Saccharomyces cerevisiae S288C: one gene and its partners. The protein of the gene in region 2 interacts with the protein of the main gene of each other region in a biochemical or structural test. Each region holds a gene or a part of one and is shown on either strand. Other genes may lie near its edges.

Region 1 (2,668 bases), on a different chromosome or scaffold from region 2:
CAGGAACAGGTATTGATACATTCGGAAATGTAGGGGAGGCTCGTATTCCTGCCCAACATACGAAGACAGGAACATTCATCAATTCTCAAGGAACAGGATATAGGCAAGTATCGGATGATCCAAACCACAATCCGTTTTTGAACAGTCAGTATACAGGTTTACCAAGCACTAGCGTCGTACCAACACAAACAGGCTATGGCTTTGGTAACCAGTCTCAACAGCAGTCTCAAAATAATGGCTCAAATAACCGGGGATATACTCTAATTGATTTATGAAGTGATTCTGTCATTCCAGTCCGCATTTCTAATCAGATGAGCATTTTCTCGCATCGCATAATATATATGGACTAAGTAATTTAATCATTTCACAGCGCGTTTTGATGCAAGCGTTTAGTATAAAATGAACTGTATATTTGTATATGTGAGCGCACGATCGCTCCAAAAACTACTTTAGTAAACTAACGTAGTTCAGGACGACTGAAAGAAAATATAGTGCTTTAAATTTATCAGACAACCAGGAATGTCTTATGTCTTTACATGGATGTAATGTAAGTTGAATACTTTTACATATCCATCAGAAGAAGCCCTACGATACGCTCTAAATCTTGATGCGATAACTCTAAGGGACTTTTATCGCCACGTTCTCCGTTAATGTCCTTGTGAGATTGCAAGGACCGCAGCACCGCCTCATCAATGAATATATCCAAATATTTCTGTATCATTGGTACTACTTCATCGGCAATTTTCATATCATTACCACCTTCATTTTGGCTGAGGATTTTTATTAACGCTTCTTTAGATAACATCACCACAATTACTGTGCTCTGTACTCATGTCCTTTCTAAGTGCAATAATGTAAATTCTAACACGCTTTTATGTATGATTGATTTTTGATATTTTGGCCCGAAAGATAATTCTGGTCTCCCGGAAACATGAAGATGCAGCAAAGTAAAAAATAATAGGTAAAAATAATAAAAATACATGTATCTTTTTGGTTGGTTAATTTATCTAAACAGTTTTATATATATATGTATATATATATATATATATACACAGTATTAATATTCTTTCCTTGAGATTACTCTCTATAAAAAAAAAAAAAAAAAAGCTTTTAAAAAAAAAAAAACTCAAAAAAAGAAAGAATATTCAAAGAAAGTTTCATCTTGTCAGTTGAAATGAATAGTTTATTGTGGAAATTATAACAATAAAAGTTAGCTAAAAGCGAAAGTGTCGATGAAACTGGGCAAGTGCACTTGAGCTCTTGATATGGACGGTAGTATTGGTTACAACAATGACTGGTAAAAGAATGAAGTGGTTTGAGATAATTTTAGAGAAACAAAAAGAAATAACAAAGTGATAGTAATAAAAACGGTGCGCAAATGAGGATAAAAAAATCAGCACAGAAACTAGAGAAAACGGATAAAAAAATAAAAAAGCAGAGACAAAAATTAAATTACGACTGATTCTTGTTCAAAATCAATAGTAAAAGTATGGTTACAAAGTAATGTAATTCACAATGGAGATTTGAAAAAAGATAAAAATAATCGACGATTAGATCACAAAAAAAGCGTATCTCACCACAGTAGTTATTTTTTCTTAGATATTCTTTAATACTGGGGTTGTGACTGACCAGGTGGCATCGCCATGAAATGTTCCTGCTGTGGAGGATACCCCTGCTGCGATGGCATTTGCGGTGGAGGATACGCCTGTTGTTGCTGATGCGAAGGAGGAACCATGAATTGTGGATGATGTTGCTGCGGAGGAATAGCAAATTGTTGCTGAGATGGTAATTGTTGCTGAGGTATCGCTTGTTGATGATAGCTCTGTTGCTCTATCGGGAATGGGACAGGTACCGTTTCGTCATTTTCAGCCACATACAATGACTTATCGATAGTGGCCGGAATAGCCGCAATTTCAGTGCCCAGTTCTTGTTCGATTTTATAAAGGTTAAACCGATCATTCCAGTTAATCAAATTGATTGCTAAACCCAAGTGGCCAAACCTACCGGATCTACCAATACGATGTAAATATGTTTCTGCCGTTTTGGGGAAATCGAAATTGATAACGACATTAACGGCTTGAATATCGATACCACGGGTCAATAAATCGGAGCAGACCAATGTACGAACCTTACCTTGACGAAATTCGTGGAAAACTTTATTTCTTTCTTGTTGCTTCATTCTTGCATGAGAGTAATAACAGGAATAGCCTAAATCAGTGATTTTCTTGGCTAGTAATTCGACACGGTTAGTAGAATTACAAAAAATAATGGCTTGATTAATTTGAAGCTTAGAGAATAAAGTATTTAAACAATGTAGCTTTTGTCTTTCTTCAACAAAGGCGTAGTATTGAGTAATACCCTTTAGAGTCAATTCTTCCATCAAATTAATTTCATAAGGCTTATGCAGATGTTTAACCATGAATTCCTTAACCGTTAGTGGGAAAGTAGCGCTAAATAATAAAGATTGGTGAGTTGGAGGTAAGAAGGATAAGATTTGTTCAATTATTGTCTTGAAGTCACGAGATAACATTTTATCGGCTTCGTCCATGATGAATAATGAACAATCAGACAGATCTGCTACTTTTCTCGAAGCTAAATCCAACACTCTACCAGGAGTACCAACCAAAATATGGACTGTTTCATTTAATCTTAGAATATCGTCTCTCAA
Region 2 (5,644 bases):
TTTCTTCTGCTCCCTCTATTAGCCTCTTCTGGTCTGTATCTTCTAAACGAAGCAAAAACTGCCCATTGGTGTTTCTTGCTAATAGGTAATTGTAAAGGGCTGTTCTCAGTGACCCCAAGTGTAAAAACCCAGTTGGAGAAGGCGCAAACCTAGTTCTAACAGGTAAAGAAGGATGGATATCTTCCTTTATTTTCTTGGATAACAGAGATTTCTTCAATGGTGAGAGACCTACGCCCTTTATTAGCTTCGAAGGTGAACAATAAGACCGTGTCGGTATTCTCAACATGATCATATTGTTATTTTATAGTTCTTCTGTACCAGATTAGATTTTTGTCATGTAGCGGTTGCTTGCTTTGGTGCCTCGAATTTAATATAAGAAATTAATTATTGCAGCTTTTCTTAAGCGCGTTCTATTTAATTAGTTCTTTATTTGGTGAAGCCTTACATTTGTGAGGTAAGACAGCTGACACTAGAAGACATTTTTGCTAGATGAGACCAAACGTCTTGGTTATAAACATGTTTACATCTATATGTGTATAATTAATTATGCAATAGTGAAAGATTAATCGAATGAGTAGTTAGAAGTTTCACCGAAATGTATCATCTTCGGATCCTCAGAAGGGTTTGGAATCCAAGAACCAGCCATGACACAGTGTATTCTCATCTTTTCATGATAATGCAAGCCAGTCAATAATTTTGGAGTGATTAAAAAATATTGAGAAGTGTTTTCGGCACACGCGTTCTCCACCATAGCTTTATGAACGATCCTTTCATTTCTAGAGTCCATACCTTGATTGATTTCATCAACCACTCTAAATGGTGCAGAGGTAAACTCTTGCAAAGCAATCATGTAAAGAACTGTAGAAACAGCTCTTTCACCACCTGATTGCGTGTGGGAATCTAACTTTTTTAAAGGTGCATTATCTCTGAATTTTACCATGATTTCTATCTTCCATTCAGCATAGTCCTTCGGCTTTTCTAGACGAACCGCACCAGCACTCCCAACATTGTTGAATAAGCGCGCAAATCTTGCAGAGATTTTTGATACAATATCATCTAATTTGGGCTCCAAAACTGCGTGATCTTCTTTTAATTTAGCTTTAATGGTCTCCAAGTCTTTCGACTGCTGAGGAACCGTGTGCTCCAACTCTCTCAGTTCGGCTGTGACTTGATCCAAAATTGTTACGGCTGACTCGTCGTGGTTTACCATAGCTATCTCCGATTCTAATTTATCGAGAACATCCTGAACGAATGACAGATTGAAATTCCCTTCCTCCTCGTATTTTTCTGCCACTTTATTCAATTTTTCCTTAGTGTCTTGGTCATAAGACCTGATTTCTCTCATCCATGATTGAAATTCAGGAGTGTCTCTCATTTCTTTTACGAACTTTTTCTTGTCTTCATATTGGCTCTTCAAATCAGCTTCCCTCTCATTGAAAAAACCAATTACGTCATTCATAGAAACATCCATATTTTGGGCTTCAAATTGAAGGATTTGAGTACTTATTAACTCCTTCTGACAATTCTTTAAACTCTTCATTGAAGAGGCCATTTTAGACAGCAAATGTCTTTGCTTGAGTAATAGTTGTTGGATCTGATCATCAATATCTTTAATCTTTTGAGATACGTCCTTTCTAGCTTCACGTTTCAGTTGATCTAATTTCTCTCTTAAAGTCTCTATTGTACTTTTTCTCATAGTGTACTTCTTGCGAATCTCATTTAATTGATGAGCTTCCCTATTAATATCGTCGTTTTTTGACGCCAACTCAGATAATTCGTGCCTATAACCACTTTTCTGGTTTGACAATGCATCTAACGTAGATTTTCGATCGTTGTATTCATTCTTTAAGTTGATAATTTCATTTTCAATTCTAATTTTCTGCTCATTTGACATGATTGATCCCTGATAAAAATTAGTTTGTTTAATACTAACGTCAGTAGGAAAGACCTGCTTACTACCATATGCTGATTGCTTGATATCGACTAACCTATTCCCATGAATAATCCTTTTAAAAAGAATTTTCCCATTCGGTCTTGGTGTAATCAACTTCTTTATCTGAGCAGGCGTCAATTCCCTTCTTGATACCGGTATAGTATGAATTTTGCTAGTTTGACAAAGCATTTTCATAACCCTCTTATCACCGGTAATAAAATCGGATAGATAACCCTCAAATCCCAGGTCCCTCACCGTTTCCGCTGGTACAGGAGGGGTGGTGTCTGCACTGGAGAGTTCTCTCAAATTAACCTTGAATTTGTCAAGAATTGGATTTGCAAATAGCTTGTAAGAATCAGAATCAACAACAGTCAAGGCTTTACTCGTATTATAATCCACACATTGTGCTAAATATGCAGCAAATTGAGCGTTAATGGCAGACACGGTCATTATTGGCGGTTCTAGAATTTTATCTTTCATTTCTGGATGCTCTCTAACCATCAACACAGCATCACGGACCTCCTTTAAATCCTGGTCCTGATTTAAGATACCGATTTTATCAGTTGTTGTAAGGGATTTGGTCTTGCTTTCAGCTTGTCTCTGTATGCTTCTCATCTCATGATTAATAGCGTTCGCCTTCGCATCAATTTCGGAAATAAGATCCCTAATTTCGCCTTCTTTATTAATAATTTCCTTTCTTTTAATGTCTATATCTTCAAATACGCTTTTCTCAGGAAGATGTGTTTGTGCTAATATTTCCTGACTCCTTAGAAAATCTTCCTTTGTACTAATAATGGTGGCCTGTAGTTTTTTGGTTCTTCCTCTATAATATTCGTTCTGGTTTTTCTTTTTGATGACCTCATCCCTAATAGTATTTAATTTTTCGAAGATTTCGTTGATCTTTTCTTTTGCTTTCAGGAACTCATCAGTTTTTAGGGAACACTTCTCTGTTAACTCTTCCACCTGATTTTCCAAAGTCTTCTTAGTATTTGCAAATGGTTTTTTATCCTTCAGTATAGCCCTTAAGTTCGCTTTCGCTCGTTCGTATTCTTCTTTATATATGTTTAGCTTTTCTTTATGGTCCTTTACTTTCACATAAGGTAATAGTTGGGAGTGTAACTCGATTTCACCCTTCTTATTTTGAAAATCTCGTAAAGATTCAACTGATTTACGTAGTTTATCACTTTCTTGTCTCAAATGAACAATTTTAGCTTTTTTAAAATCGAGATCTTTTTGCAAGCTTTGCTCATTTCCTTGTAATTCCCTTAGTTCATCCAACACATCCAATAAGCTTGCATCGATTGACCTTATAGTCTCTACTAATAATTTAACTGACTTCAAGCGAGCAAACTCCTCAACACGCTCTTGAGATAAAAATTGACAAAGATTATCCAACTGAATGTTCAGCTGAGCAACTAAAGTTTTAACTACACTCTCAGATACCTGGTAGTCATTTATTAGATAATCCGATCTCCTCTTGGATCTCGTAATAATCCTGGTAATCTTTATTGTTTCATCACGTGCGTCTATGTATTCAATATCAGTAACATTTGGTGAATTTTTCAAGGTGATTTCAATTTTTGAAACATCTTGACCATTTTTGATGAAATCTTCCACTTTTTTACTCCTACCAATATACTCGGGTTTACCAGCCAATCCTAAACACACTGCGCATACGAAAGTAGATTTTCCAGATCCGTTTGGCCCAATGATCATATTTAAAGACGGTGAAAGATTGAATTCGGTTAAAGTGTAAGTAACAAAATCCTGTAAACGGATCTTAATAATGCTGCCTGGTTGGAAGGAAGACAAGTCAGGTTTTGCGATTTTTACCCTTTTCGATCTTGGCTCTGTATCTTCTCCATGATGCGTTCTTTCAACATATCTGCCCAAATCTATTAGACTGGTCATGCTAGGGATATAGCTTTTATGTACCACGCCCTTTTATTTGATATACTTCCTTTAGAATTGCGTACACGTACTTGTGAAAGTAAATACCTATTATCGGCATCTTGTCATCGCATAAAAAGGTAATCCAACGCGAAAGTTAACGCCATAATATAGCCCAGTCATCCTGAACGGTCTACAAGATTAATAAGATCAGCTATGCCAGCTTGTTGAAATAATTAGTGGCAACAAGTGTGTTGTCAGACAAATGTGATTATTTACATTTACAAAGATAGAAAGGAAATATCAAAACTATAAGAGTACACTACGGGCTAGAAAAAAAATAAAGGAAATGTTTCTTACATTAGTATCAGTGTAGCGGTTCTGTAAAGGTTAATCTTTGTTTGATTCAATCACGAAAAATCTGCTGCAAATTGCTACCTCTTTCATCATTCTAAAGTAAGTCCTTCTCTTATTCCTAGATGTTCGAGCAATACCAATTAAACTTGGCACGATGCGTGCAATTAAGAGTAATCGGGCACTGCACTCCGACTGGAGTCCGACGAATATCGTAGTGATCTTTTTTATCTACAGTACTGGTTGCTTATATCTTCCAGTGTATATATTCAATGTGGGAAGGAGGGAAAGGTCATTTTGCTAATTTTCATTTTTTCTCGCCTTTTAAAGCATGAGAAGAAAAGTTGACCATGTGTGCCAAAAAAAAAAAAGGTAGGGCTACCATCCTAATTAGAGTAATTTAAGGAATTTATTAAAATGCAATGTTAACTTTTTATAGAGTGCGTAAATAACTATGTAATGGTAAATACATGGCATACAGTATATGCGTGTTTACCACCATATATACGTGTATACTTATATTTTGTCTGCCGTTATATATAGCCAAGACCTTTTTCCTTCATGGGTTGTTCAACTTTCCACGGTAAAATCGGACATAATCAGACCATATCTTATTCATGGAAATTCGTTTCTTTTTCAAATACTGCAGGTCCTTATCACTGCACCATCTACAAGATGCAAATTTTCTTTCCAAAACAGCATACCTTTCATCTTCCTTGCGTTGCTGCTGAGCCAGGATTTCCACGTATTCCTTGGCATTGAGCTTCATGCCTTCTTTGTTTCTTAAATTGGTAATGCATAATCCGATGGTAGATTGCGTTTGTAACGACGAGCGATTGATGCGATGAGTACCCTCTGTGACAGAGAGTACGGGAACAAAACTTTGTAAGGCTTCTTTATCCAGATATATTTCACTTGGCTTTGTTTGCTGTTCAGGCAGTACATTTTTTTTGCTTGAATTTTTAGACAGTATCTTTCTACTTGACGTTCTTTTAGGAACATTAATCTTACCTTCTTCGCGTAGTGGAGAGATGTCGTCTGTTGATGATTCTGGAAGAGATGTTGATGCTCGATTAAATGTACTCACGCCATCTATTGAAACTCGATCATTTTCTTTTGAGACTGGCGTTGTCGGATGTCCTCCCACGGTTGATAAAGAGGAAAACGACAATTCTGTAGGCCCCGTAGTCACCATAGATTTGGGTGATAAAGTGAGAATTTCCTTACTATTATTACTGTCGCTCAATATTCTAGTAAAACCTCTCTTTATCTTAGAACCTAGAGATGTCTTTCTGTAGACGTGTTCTGTGTCATTTGGAGTGGACACTAAGACCTCCTCCGAAGCTCGACTGCTATTCGCAAACTTGCTGTCCGAATTGAGGCGCGAATAAAGCTTCGAGCACGAAAGCTGCCTCCTAGGTAGTTTATTATCAATAGTGGAAGATCGTCGAATTAGCATGGGCTGCC
Region 3 (5,354 bases), on a different chromosome or scaffold from region 2:
AAGGTTGCCTTAGCATCCACTTTCTCTTCCTGGGACATAACAGCAATTGCAAATGATGACACTATGTGACAGCAGATATATGTTTATGTTAATAGGCCTGGTTGGAGAGCGAAAGTTGAGATTACTTACTTAATCAAAATTAAATTTGAAATTTGCTGCATTTTAAGGTTACTTTTCGGAGTGTAGGAAATTGTTGCGGTTTTTTTTCACCTAACGAATGATTGATAATCTTTTTCATATCCTCCAAGAAACAAGCTGTTTATTATGGTGATTGCCACAAATTGAAGCGCTATGCTTAGTGCTTCATGACAGAAAGGTTTTGCATTGGTAGGCGTGGAAGATTACAGATTGTACTCGTCGTTGGCTCAATTTTTATATTTTGTTGCTTCAAAAACAGTGCCGTATCCTTAATGAATGAAAAATTCTAAAGAAAATAAGTTGATACTAAAAATATAATGTCCTTGAAGTATTTATGCGATATATAGAAAAATCTATAAATACTTAAATATTACAGCAGCGTTATTTTTGTATAGACGCCGACGTATAAGAGTCTCCTATCAAAAATCAGAATCTGAGCCCAGTATGTCATCTAATTCTGCGTTCGATAAGGTAAAAGATTGGGATGAATCATGGTTGACACTGTTGTTATCGACTTGACTTTTATCGTTAACTTTTACAAATTTTTTTTCGTCTCGTAACATGCCTCTCGCCAAACATTTAGTATAGTTCATATCAATTGTCCTCTTCTTATTATCATTACTCTCGTCGTTAAATAACGTAATGATTTTTGAAACTTTGTGACAATGCGGAACTTTTACCCCTTTGGTGTATTGTACAAAATTGGGCTCCACATCGAAGGAAACACCTTCTGGGATATAGCGGTTTCTGAAAAAATTCCAATCGTCCAAACTCAATACCATGTTATTCTTGTCAACAGTACAGCTCTTTTCTTTTTCAAGGTTGTGTTGATTTCCTCGGATGTCTTTCACATTTTTCTCGATTTTAGTTGGAAGACCACAATCATTCACAAATAAAGCCATATTAGGGCGTTCAAAATTATGAAGTGGCTTGAGTGTGGTAAGACTTTCGCCAGTGCGAATAATGGCAGTTTCCAAATCTTTTTGGCATCCATTCTGCCCTTCCGCAATGAAAACATTATTATCATCACTGACTTCTTCATCTTCAGTTTCTAATGAGGAGGAAGCTTCCTCGGTTGAATCATTCTCCAGATTATCCAAAGCTTTAAAAATCTTCCGCTTCTTACTTGGGTTTTCATTACTCGTTACTAGTTGTTTCCCGCCACTTTCATTCACCAAGAACTTATTAATTAAAGTGCTTGCACTAACAATACTGGTCTCAACATTATCAGGCATAAAGAACTTCTTCGGTTTTTTATTTTCCTGAACTCTCTTCTTCTTTGTTATGGCTTTTTTTGGCTTCACCTTTTTGCCCATCATACACTGAGTCGCATAACGAATAACTTCGTCAACATCTTCCATTTCATTAATTATTTCGTTTTCATCATTAATCGTGATCAATGTCTCGTGACATTCCGGAATAATGTCTTCAGGGATTATCCGATCTGATTTTTTATAGTCAATGCATTGCTTGGATATAAGCGCTTGCAGGGTTGAATAGTCTTCCATAGCACGCTCGAATTTGTATGATTCATTACTGCTAAACAGTAGTACTATCTTACCATCTCGTTTTCTGCCTGTTCTACCCATACGCTGAATATTTTTGATTGGACTACTTGTAGTATCATAACAGATTATTAAATCAACTTCTCCGATATCCAAACCTTCTTCTCCAATTGATGTACAAACGAGAACATTATATTCACCCTTTTTGAAATTATGGATAACCTCTTTTTGCATTTTTTGGTTCATTCCGCTAATCTGAGCCTCTTCAGAGCTCCCCGTTCGTCTGGCACTTCTTTCAAGTTTATCATTCGCCGCTCTCTTAGTTCGTTCAGCTTCCAAAAATTTCTCTTGCTCTTGCCTATGCAATCTCTCTACCTTCTTCCTTCCCTTTGGCGCATGTTTTCTTGTGTATTTGACCTCATCAAAACCTTCTTTTGCACGAGCTTGTCCAATAAAAATATGAGGCCTGATTTGATCGTCAGCTACCGAGTCTATGAACTTCACAATTTCAAGTGCGCTTTCTCTTAATTCTGTAAAAATAATAACCCTCGAGTCGGAACCCCTTTTCTGAAAAAAGTCCATTAGTTCATCTCTAACACATTGTAACTTCCCATGACCGACAAACTTTGGATCACTTAAATAATTTTCGCATTGATTTTTGATGTTTTTCAAAATCGGATGGTAATAAAACTCAGCTGCAATTTTATTAGTAGATTTTTTAAGATTATATTTCGTAGTGAATTCTGTACATTTATTCTGGAAGTAATTGAAAAATGTCCTTATTCCATAAATTTTTAATCTCTTTAGCATTTGACCCACATTGTTCAATAACTGTAAAATAAAGAAGTTCCTCCACTTAATTCCTTCAGGTATAGTAGGGTTAGCAATAATTTTTTGGCTTTGTTGCATGGCTTTGAAGGCGTTTATTTGTGAAGGGTCACATTCCTCATATATACCGAGTTCAATTGCCTGTTGAAGCACTGGTTTGACGGCCATACCTAATTGTTCGATTATGTCTTCAATTTCCAACAAAAGGGGCACTTCAATTTTTTCCTTTTTTCTTTTCTTCATATATTTCACGATATCCATGCTTTCTTCAGTCCTAATTTCAATCTTGGAAATATCTAAGTTATTAACCACTTCTTGGACACCTTCCAGGTCAGAGGCTGGTGTAGCGGTCAATGCTAATAATCTGTATGATGAATTGAACCTATCTATGAATTTTACCACATTTGTATACGCAGAGGAGCCAGTAGCTCTGTGAGCTTCATCGATGACAAGACATACAATATCCTTAGGATCCAATACACCCCTCTTCAAGTCATTCTCCACTACTTGCGGTGTGGCAAAGAAAACTCTCTTATTGGCCCAAATTTCTTCTCTATTTTTCCTGCTTTTATCGAGTAATATAGCAGTTTGATCCGAAGGTATTCCTGTTATACCTAAGCATGCCTTAATTTGCTGGGCTACCAAAGGTCTTGTTGGAGCAGTAAAGATTATTTTGGCTTTTTTGGTCCAACGAAAATAATTTAACATTACTGTACTGGCAATGAACGTTTTACCCATACCCGTTGGGATGGCGCATAACGTATTTTGAAACAGTGATTTGTGAACAATTGTATACTGATAATCCCTTACCTCGTAATTTGTAGGGTACACGTAGAACGACAAAGCATCGTAATCAAGCTCATGATGAGTGGGTCCAAAACTGACATCTCTTTGAATTTCTTCGTACACAGTTTTCTGCCCAGGTAAAACGTTATCATGAAGGTCTTTTTGAACTGGTACAGCACGTCTCGTTATAGTTTCCTTCACAGATTTATTGATAGCCTTTTCATACAGTTTATCCAGCTCGTCATCTTCGAAATCACTAAAGTAATCATCTGCACTAGCCATCAGAGAGAAAAAAGGACACTAAAATAAAACAGAACCGGAATGTGTTGAATAAAACTGAAGTGAGCTACTATATCTTGAATCACAATATCTTAGCTCCGTGATAGAGCATAGGGCACCTCTATTGATCTCTTCGTGATGCCCGGTTATATACACACGTAACCCCGTAAAAGCCGTTACCCGGTTTATGTCTTTCTGTGAGCACAGTAAGCTAGGAAGGTCGATGGAGAAGAAGACTCCTGTCTCATATGGAACAACCTTGCAAATTGAGTGCAATTATCCCCTTTGGAGTTTGAATTTTGTGTTAGTACATTCTCCTTTTTTAACTTGTCTTTTCTACCACATGCACAATGAAAGCAATCTTGTTTTACCAGGCGCGAAGCAAAAGAAAAGGAGAAATATTGAGTATATTTTAATTTAAGCTTTCTGATTTAGAAAGTATCATGTTTTGTTGGTGATCTAACAGGAAATCTATTTTGACCGATTATACAATGCCATCGGAAGTTACGCCAAAAGTACCTGAGAGGCCCTCAAGGAGGAAGACATCTGAGCTGTTTCCGTTATCCGGCTCTGAATCAGGAGATATTAAAGCTAATAGCGAGCCACCAACACCAGCAGGAACGCCCAATGTACCAACACGTAGACCCATACTTAAAGCAAAGACGATGACTTCGTTTGAGAGTGGTATGGATCAAGAGAGTTTGCCCAAGGTACCATTGCAGAGGCCAGTTAGACGCTCCACTACTGAAGAACTAAATAATGTAATGAATAACACCAGTAAGGAGTTAGAGGAGATTGAAAGTTTGATTTCAAAGCACAATATACACAATGTTTCCAGGAAAAAAAGTCCAACTTCTGTGGAAGAGGGAAAGGTGGCCGCCATTCATCAAAACGGGCAAAGAAGTGCATCAGATAACAAAACTTCTACAAATCCCTCCCCACTCGAAAAAAATGAGCACGAGGGTGCTGAGGGCAATGAGTCTGCTATTTCACCTTCTAATTTAGTTAACAAGTCTAATAATGAAGTGACAGAGCATAGTGACTCCGAAGACCTTACTGAAAAGCAAAAGGTACATGCTGCCCTAGATAATGAGGCAGGGGATAGAAGCCATTTTGAAGAAAAGCTCATTCCTGGAGATATGAAAGTACAGGTAGATGTTAGTAAGGACGTAGAAGAAGGCAGCCTCAATGCTCTGCCTCCATCTGGAATCACAGAATCAGACGACAAAGCTGAAAAGTTCACTAAACATCCTGAATCTAGTTTAGAAGAGCTACAGAAGCATCAAGAACAACAGGAAGAAAAAATTTTCCAAAATCCAACCGATGAAGAAAGTACTACCTCTTTGAATGAGAAACAAGAAGGCAAGGACAACATGGAAGTGAATTCTCAGCCGCAAGGACCTTCTGATACTGAAACAGTTATAGCAGCAACTAGCTCAAACGTTCCTTCACAAATTGCAAGTGAAGAGGAAAATGACGTTCCAGTGATTCCAAGGAGTAGGCCTAAGAAGGATTTTGAAGCACACGTACAAAAAGAGGAGTTGCCTAACACACAAGAGAAGCGAGTATCAGAAGAGTGTGATTCGACCCTAATTAGTACCGAAGAGGAAAGTAAAATCCCAAAAATTCCCTCTGAAAGACCAAAGAGACGTGCCCCACCTCCGGTTCCCAAAAAACCTTCTTCAAGAATTGCGGCCTTTCAAGAAATGTTACAAAAACAACAGCAACAAGATCTGCATAATAATGGTAATTCTTCAGCTACTACCGCTTCAGCAGATATTGCTAAAAAACACACAGATTCTTCTATTACTAGCGATA
Region 4 (3,909 bases), on a different chromosome or scaffold from region 2:
TTTAATTTTACGGGTTCTTGTTTTACCTTCTAATGAATTTTAAGTTTTGAAAAGCAGAAAATCAGATATTGAAACTATAGATCTGCTTACCTTGAAGTTCACTATTTTTGGAATTCTCCTTGCTAATAGTTACTTCTACTCTTGCTTTGTCCTGGATATCAATGGAAGATGTCCTCATTTCCATTTTTTTTTTCAATTCGACGGCAAGGCGGGAGAAAAGGAACTAGGGATACAAAAATGCAATTACTAATGAAATCCGTGAAATAATCATGGAAATGGGTGATGTAAGAATCTGATGAAACAAGTACAAATGTCTTTGGCCCATCAACTACGATGAGACTTACTAAGCTTTCATCAAATGCAGGTTAGAGAAGGAGAATGGTTTTTTTTTTTATTTTTTGTACATAGATATTAGAGAAATATAATAAGTAGATTATAGATAAGATATCACCAAAGAGATATAACAGTAGGGGGAATTTTTTTTTTTACAATATACTTGAAATATAGAAAGGATAAGGAGGTTGGGGGCGAGAGTGAACCTTAAAATTCCTCTTCCTCAGCGTATGAGTCGGCACCCACTTCGATGTAATCTCTTTCTAAAGCAGCCAAATCTTCTCTAGCTTCGGTGAATTCACCTTCTTCCATACCTTCACCGACATACCAGTGGACGAAAGCACGTTTGGCATACATTAAATCGAATTTTCTATCGATTCTCTTCCAAGCCTCAGCAATGGATGTGGTATTTGACAACATACAGACGGCCCTATCCACAGTGGCCAATTGTGAGTTTGGTGTGGCAGTTGGAGGTTCGTAGCAAATACCGATCTTGAAACCAGTTGGACACCAATCAACCAATTGGACGGTCTTCTTGTTTTTCACCTGCTCGACAGCTCTTTGAACATCTCTTGTTACCACATCACCCCTGTATAACAGACAAGTAGCCATGTATTTACCATCTCTTGGATCACACTTGACCATCTGGTTACCAGGTTCAAAACAAGCGTTTGTAATTTCTGACACAGAGTTGGACTCATGGAATGCCTTTGATTTGGATAAGACTGGAGAATATGAAACTAAGGGGAAATGAATTCTTGGATATGGAACCAAATTGGTTTGAAATTCGTTCAAATCTACATTTAATGAACCGTCGAATCTCAATGATGCTGTAACAGATGATACCACTTGAGCAATTAGGTTGTTTAAGTTTGCAAAGCTTGGTCTTGGGATATCCAAGTTTCTTTTGCACATGTCGTAAATAGCCTCATTATCGACCATGAAAGTACAATCTGCATGTTCCAATGTAGTATGTGTAGTTAAAACTGTGTTGTAAGGCTCAACCACAGAAGTAGACACTTGTGGAGCAGGGTATACGGCAAATTCCAGCTTGGATTTCTTACCGTATTCAGCGGATAGTTCTTCCAACAGTAAGGACCCTAGACCGGAACCAGTACCACCACCAAGAGAATGGGTAAACAAGAACCCTTGTAACCCATCACATTGGTCTGCCAGTTTTCTAATCCTATCCAGAACATCGCCCAAAATTTCTCTACCAACGGTGTAATGGCCTCTTGCATAATTATTAGCCGCGTCCTCCTTACCACTGATCAACTGTTCTGGATGGAACAAGTCCTTGTAAGGACCGTTACGGACTTCGTCAATAACGTTGGGCTCTAAATCCACGTAAATAGCCCTTGGAACGAACTTACCGTAGCCGGTTTCATGGAAAAACGTGGAGAAACCCTCTTCTCCTCCCTTCGGCTTTGAAAGGCCATCTTCTAGATGTCCATCCGGCTTAATACCGTGCTCAAGGGAATATAATTCCCAACAGGCATTACCAATCTGACAACCAGCTTGACCGACTGTAAAGAGAAATCAAAAAAAAAAAAATTTTGCGTTGAAGTTAGTAATGAAAGATGAAACGCCAAAATGAACTAACAAAAAAAAGATCTAGCCTGGACGGGCAAATCGAACATACCATTAATACTAATAACTTCTCTCATTGTTTGTTTGCAGTTGTAAGTTTACAGATCTTGGGTGGCGAGAACTGTTGTAGACGGATATACTGAATTGGGTAAAACGATATAGTAGATGTTTTTGTTTTGTTTTGTTTTGTTTTGTAGTTTAGTTTTTCCCTTGGCTCGAGGCGTTTTCGCGTGGCATAACCCGGCCGGAAACTACGGTGATATTATCGTCTGGCACATATATATATATATATATGTAAACTATACTTATATTAATAGTTTCCGATCGTCTTATTACTCACTTACTATCAATGGAAGCACTATTTCATTACTTAAAAAATACTTTCTATTGCAGGATCTGAAACAGTCAGTTATAATGGAAAAAGTATGCAATTGTGTTTTCTTAAAGAAGGATACAGATATTTATATATGTTAGTTCCTCTGGAATATATCGCTAGATGCATTAAACATGAAGAAATTTGCCGTATGAATTATTCCTGTATGTACACCAAATGTGTCATGATCTTCTTGTTTCTTCAATGTGGCGCTGGCATTCGAGAGTGATGATGCTTGGTGTGAGCACTTGAAATGTCTCCTCTTTAAGAAAGACAATCCTATCCTTTCATGATCAAGGGCTTCTAAGGCGTCTCTCAATGCCAATTTCAAATCGGTAGGGTCTGACACGGTCTGGTAGCATTTATTAATGCAGTGGGTAAGGAAGAGGGAGGGCTTGATAATGTGGTTGGCTGAAATCGGATGGCAGTGCCCGCCATTGATAGACTCAAATTTTACTGTCTTCGTACAGTGGTTGAAGGTCAGTATGAGTTTTGACTCGCAGATCAAATGTATTTTGTACTTTTCAGGAGTCCTTGTTCTTTGTATACGCTTATTGCTGAGTTGCTCGTGAACATTCATCTCACAAACGAGTTCGTACTTGTTCTTATTGATTTTCTTTGTCCTGTAGATGAAACTAATGAATGAATATACTCTAACGAACTGCTCAAACGACAGGGTACATAGGAACTCGAAGGAGGATTTTGGATGCTTGAAAATAAAGTCCCTGAAGTTTAGAATGTTGTTGATATTTTCGATCTCGTCCTTGTTTACTGGATGGTGATATTCCTGTGCGCATGCAATTAGTTGTTTACCAGACCTAACTTTGCTCAATTGTGCCTTTGTTTTTGCACAACCAATGTAGTTTGGAATCTTCCTAATTAATTCCTCGGTACTATCTCGCTCAACATCACGGCCGCCGCCATTCCCGATCACAATTTTGGGCAGGATAGGATGTGAAACTCTGTCCTCTACTGTGCTGGGCACAGGCGACGGTGGTAGTTTCAAATCTGGCAGCTTTATGGCGACCGGGGCCAAAGGGGGTGAGGGAGCCGTTGCTTCAAACTGAGGTCTTGGGGAGGTCATAGGTGTGATAATAGGCATCATTGCGGCATGATTTCGTACAGCGACAGGGATAGTGACAACCTGTTGTGACCAATGGACGGGCGTATTTGTGCTCATAGAAGGCAATATGGGTGTTGGCAAGCACCTGGGGCTGGAGTACCCAAATGTCAGCGAATGTTGTTGATCTAACGCCAATATGATTGGGGGCAGAACGGGCGATAGGCACTGCCTGCCTGGAGGTGTTCTGGGAACGTGCGCCTGGTTGTTGTTATATACATGTAAATAGTCCATTGAGTCTTTACCAGGTTCTATCTTAACTAAAGAACTACTTCTACACAAGACTTAAGGCACCTTCATACGAAAACCCTCTCCACGATGGCGTTCAATCTTTCGTCTTTATATACATATGTTACTTTATATATTTATATATTTACGTATACACCCGAATGTATTTATATATTTGTATGCATATGCCCACACGTATATGCTCAAGAGTAAATTCTCCGACCCGTTTAAAAGCAAGCACACGTCAAGGTTTGCTGTCTCCACT

What was found.
Region 1: the proteins of SMC5 (region 2) and MHF2 form a complex in vitro, tested with the Saccharomyces cerevisiae proteins (one study listed by BioGRID).
Region 3: the proteins of SMC5 (region 2) and MPH1 form a complex in vitro, tested with the Saccharomyces cerevisiae proteins (2 studies listed by BioGRID).
Region 4: the proteins of SMC5 (region 2) and TUB1 form a complex in vitro, tested with the Saccharomyces cerevisiae proteins (one study listed by BioGRID).

The regions. Positions count from the first base shown.
Region 1 is NC_001136.10:168,804-171,471, forward strand, and holds MHF2 (Mhf2p), read right to left. Parts: upstream 806-2,668; coding exon 563-805; downstream 1-562. Other genes in the region: ENT1 (epsin), read left to right, coding at 1-275; DExD/H-box ATP-dependent RNA helicase DHH1, read right to left, coding at 1,607-2,668. UniProt on the Saccharomyces cerevisiae protein: DNA-binding component of a FANCM-MHF complex involved in DNA damage repair and genome maintenance. FANCM-MHF promotes gene conversion at blocked replication forks, probably by reversal of the stalled fork.
Region 2 is NC_001147.6:258,123-263,766, reverse strand, and holds SMC5 (DNA repair ATPase SMC5), read right to left. Parts: upstream 3,845-5,644; coding exon 563-3,844; downstream 1-562. Other genes in the region: glutamate--tRNA ligase MSE1, read right to left, coding at 1-292; YOL036W (uncharacterized protein), read right to left, coding at 4,737-5,644.
Region 3 is NC_001141.2:356,858-362,211, forward strand, and holds MPH1 (3'-5' DNA helicase), read right to left. Parts: upstream 3,540-5,354; coding exon 558-3,539; downstream 1-557. Other genes in the region: SGN1 (Sgn1p), read right to left, coding at 1-38; AIM21 (Aim21p), read left to right, coding at 4,028-5,354. UniProt on the Saccharomyces cerevisiae protein: ATP-dependent DNA helicase involved in DNA damage repair by homologous recombination and in genome maintenance. Capable of unwinding D-loops. Plays a role in limiting crossover recombinants during mitotic DNA double-strand break (DSB) repair.
Region 4 is NC_001145.3:97,401-101,309, forward strand, and holds TUB1 (alpha-tubulin TUB1), read right to left. Parts: upstream 2,001-3,909; coding exon 1,976-2,000; intron 1,860-1,975; coding exon 541-1,859; downstream 1-540. Other genes in the region: YML083C (uncharacterized protein), read right to left, coding at 2,394-3,650. UniProt on the Saccharomyces cerevisiae protein: Tubulin is the major constituent of microtubules, a cylinder consisting of laterally associated linear protofilaments composed of alpha- and beta-tubulin heterodimers.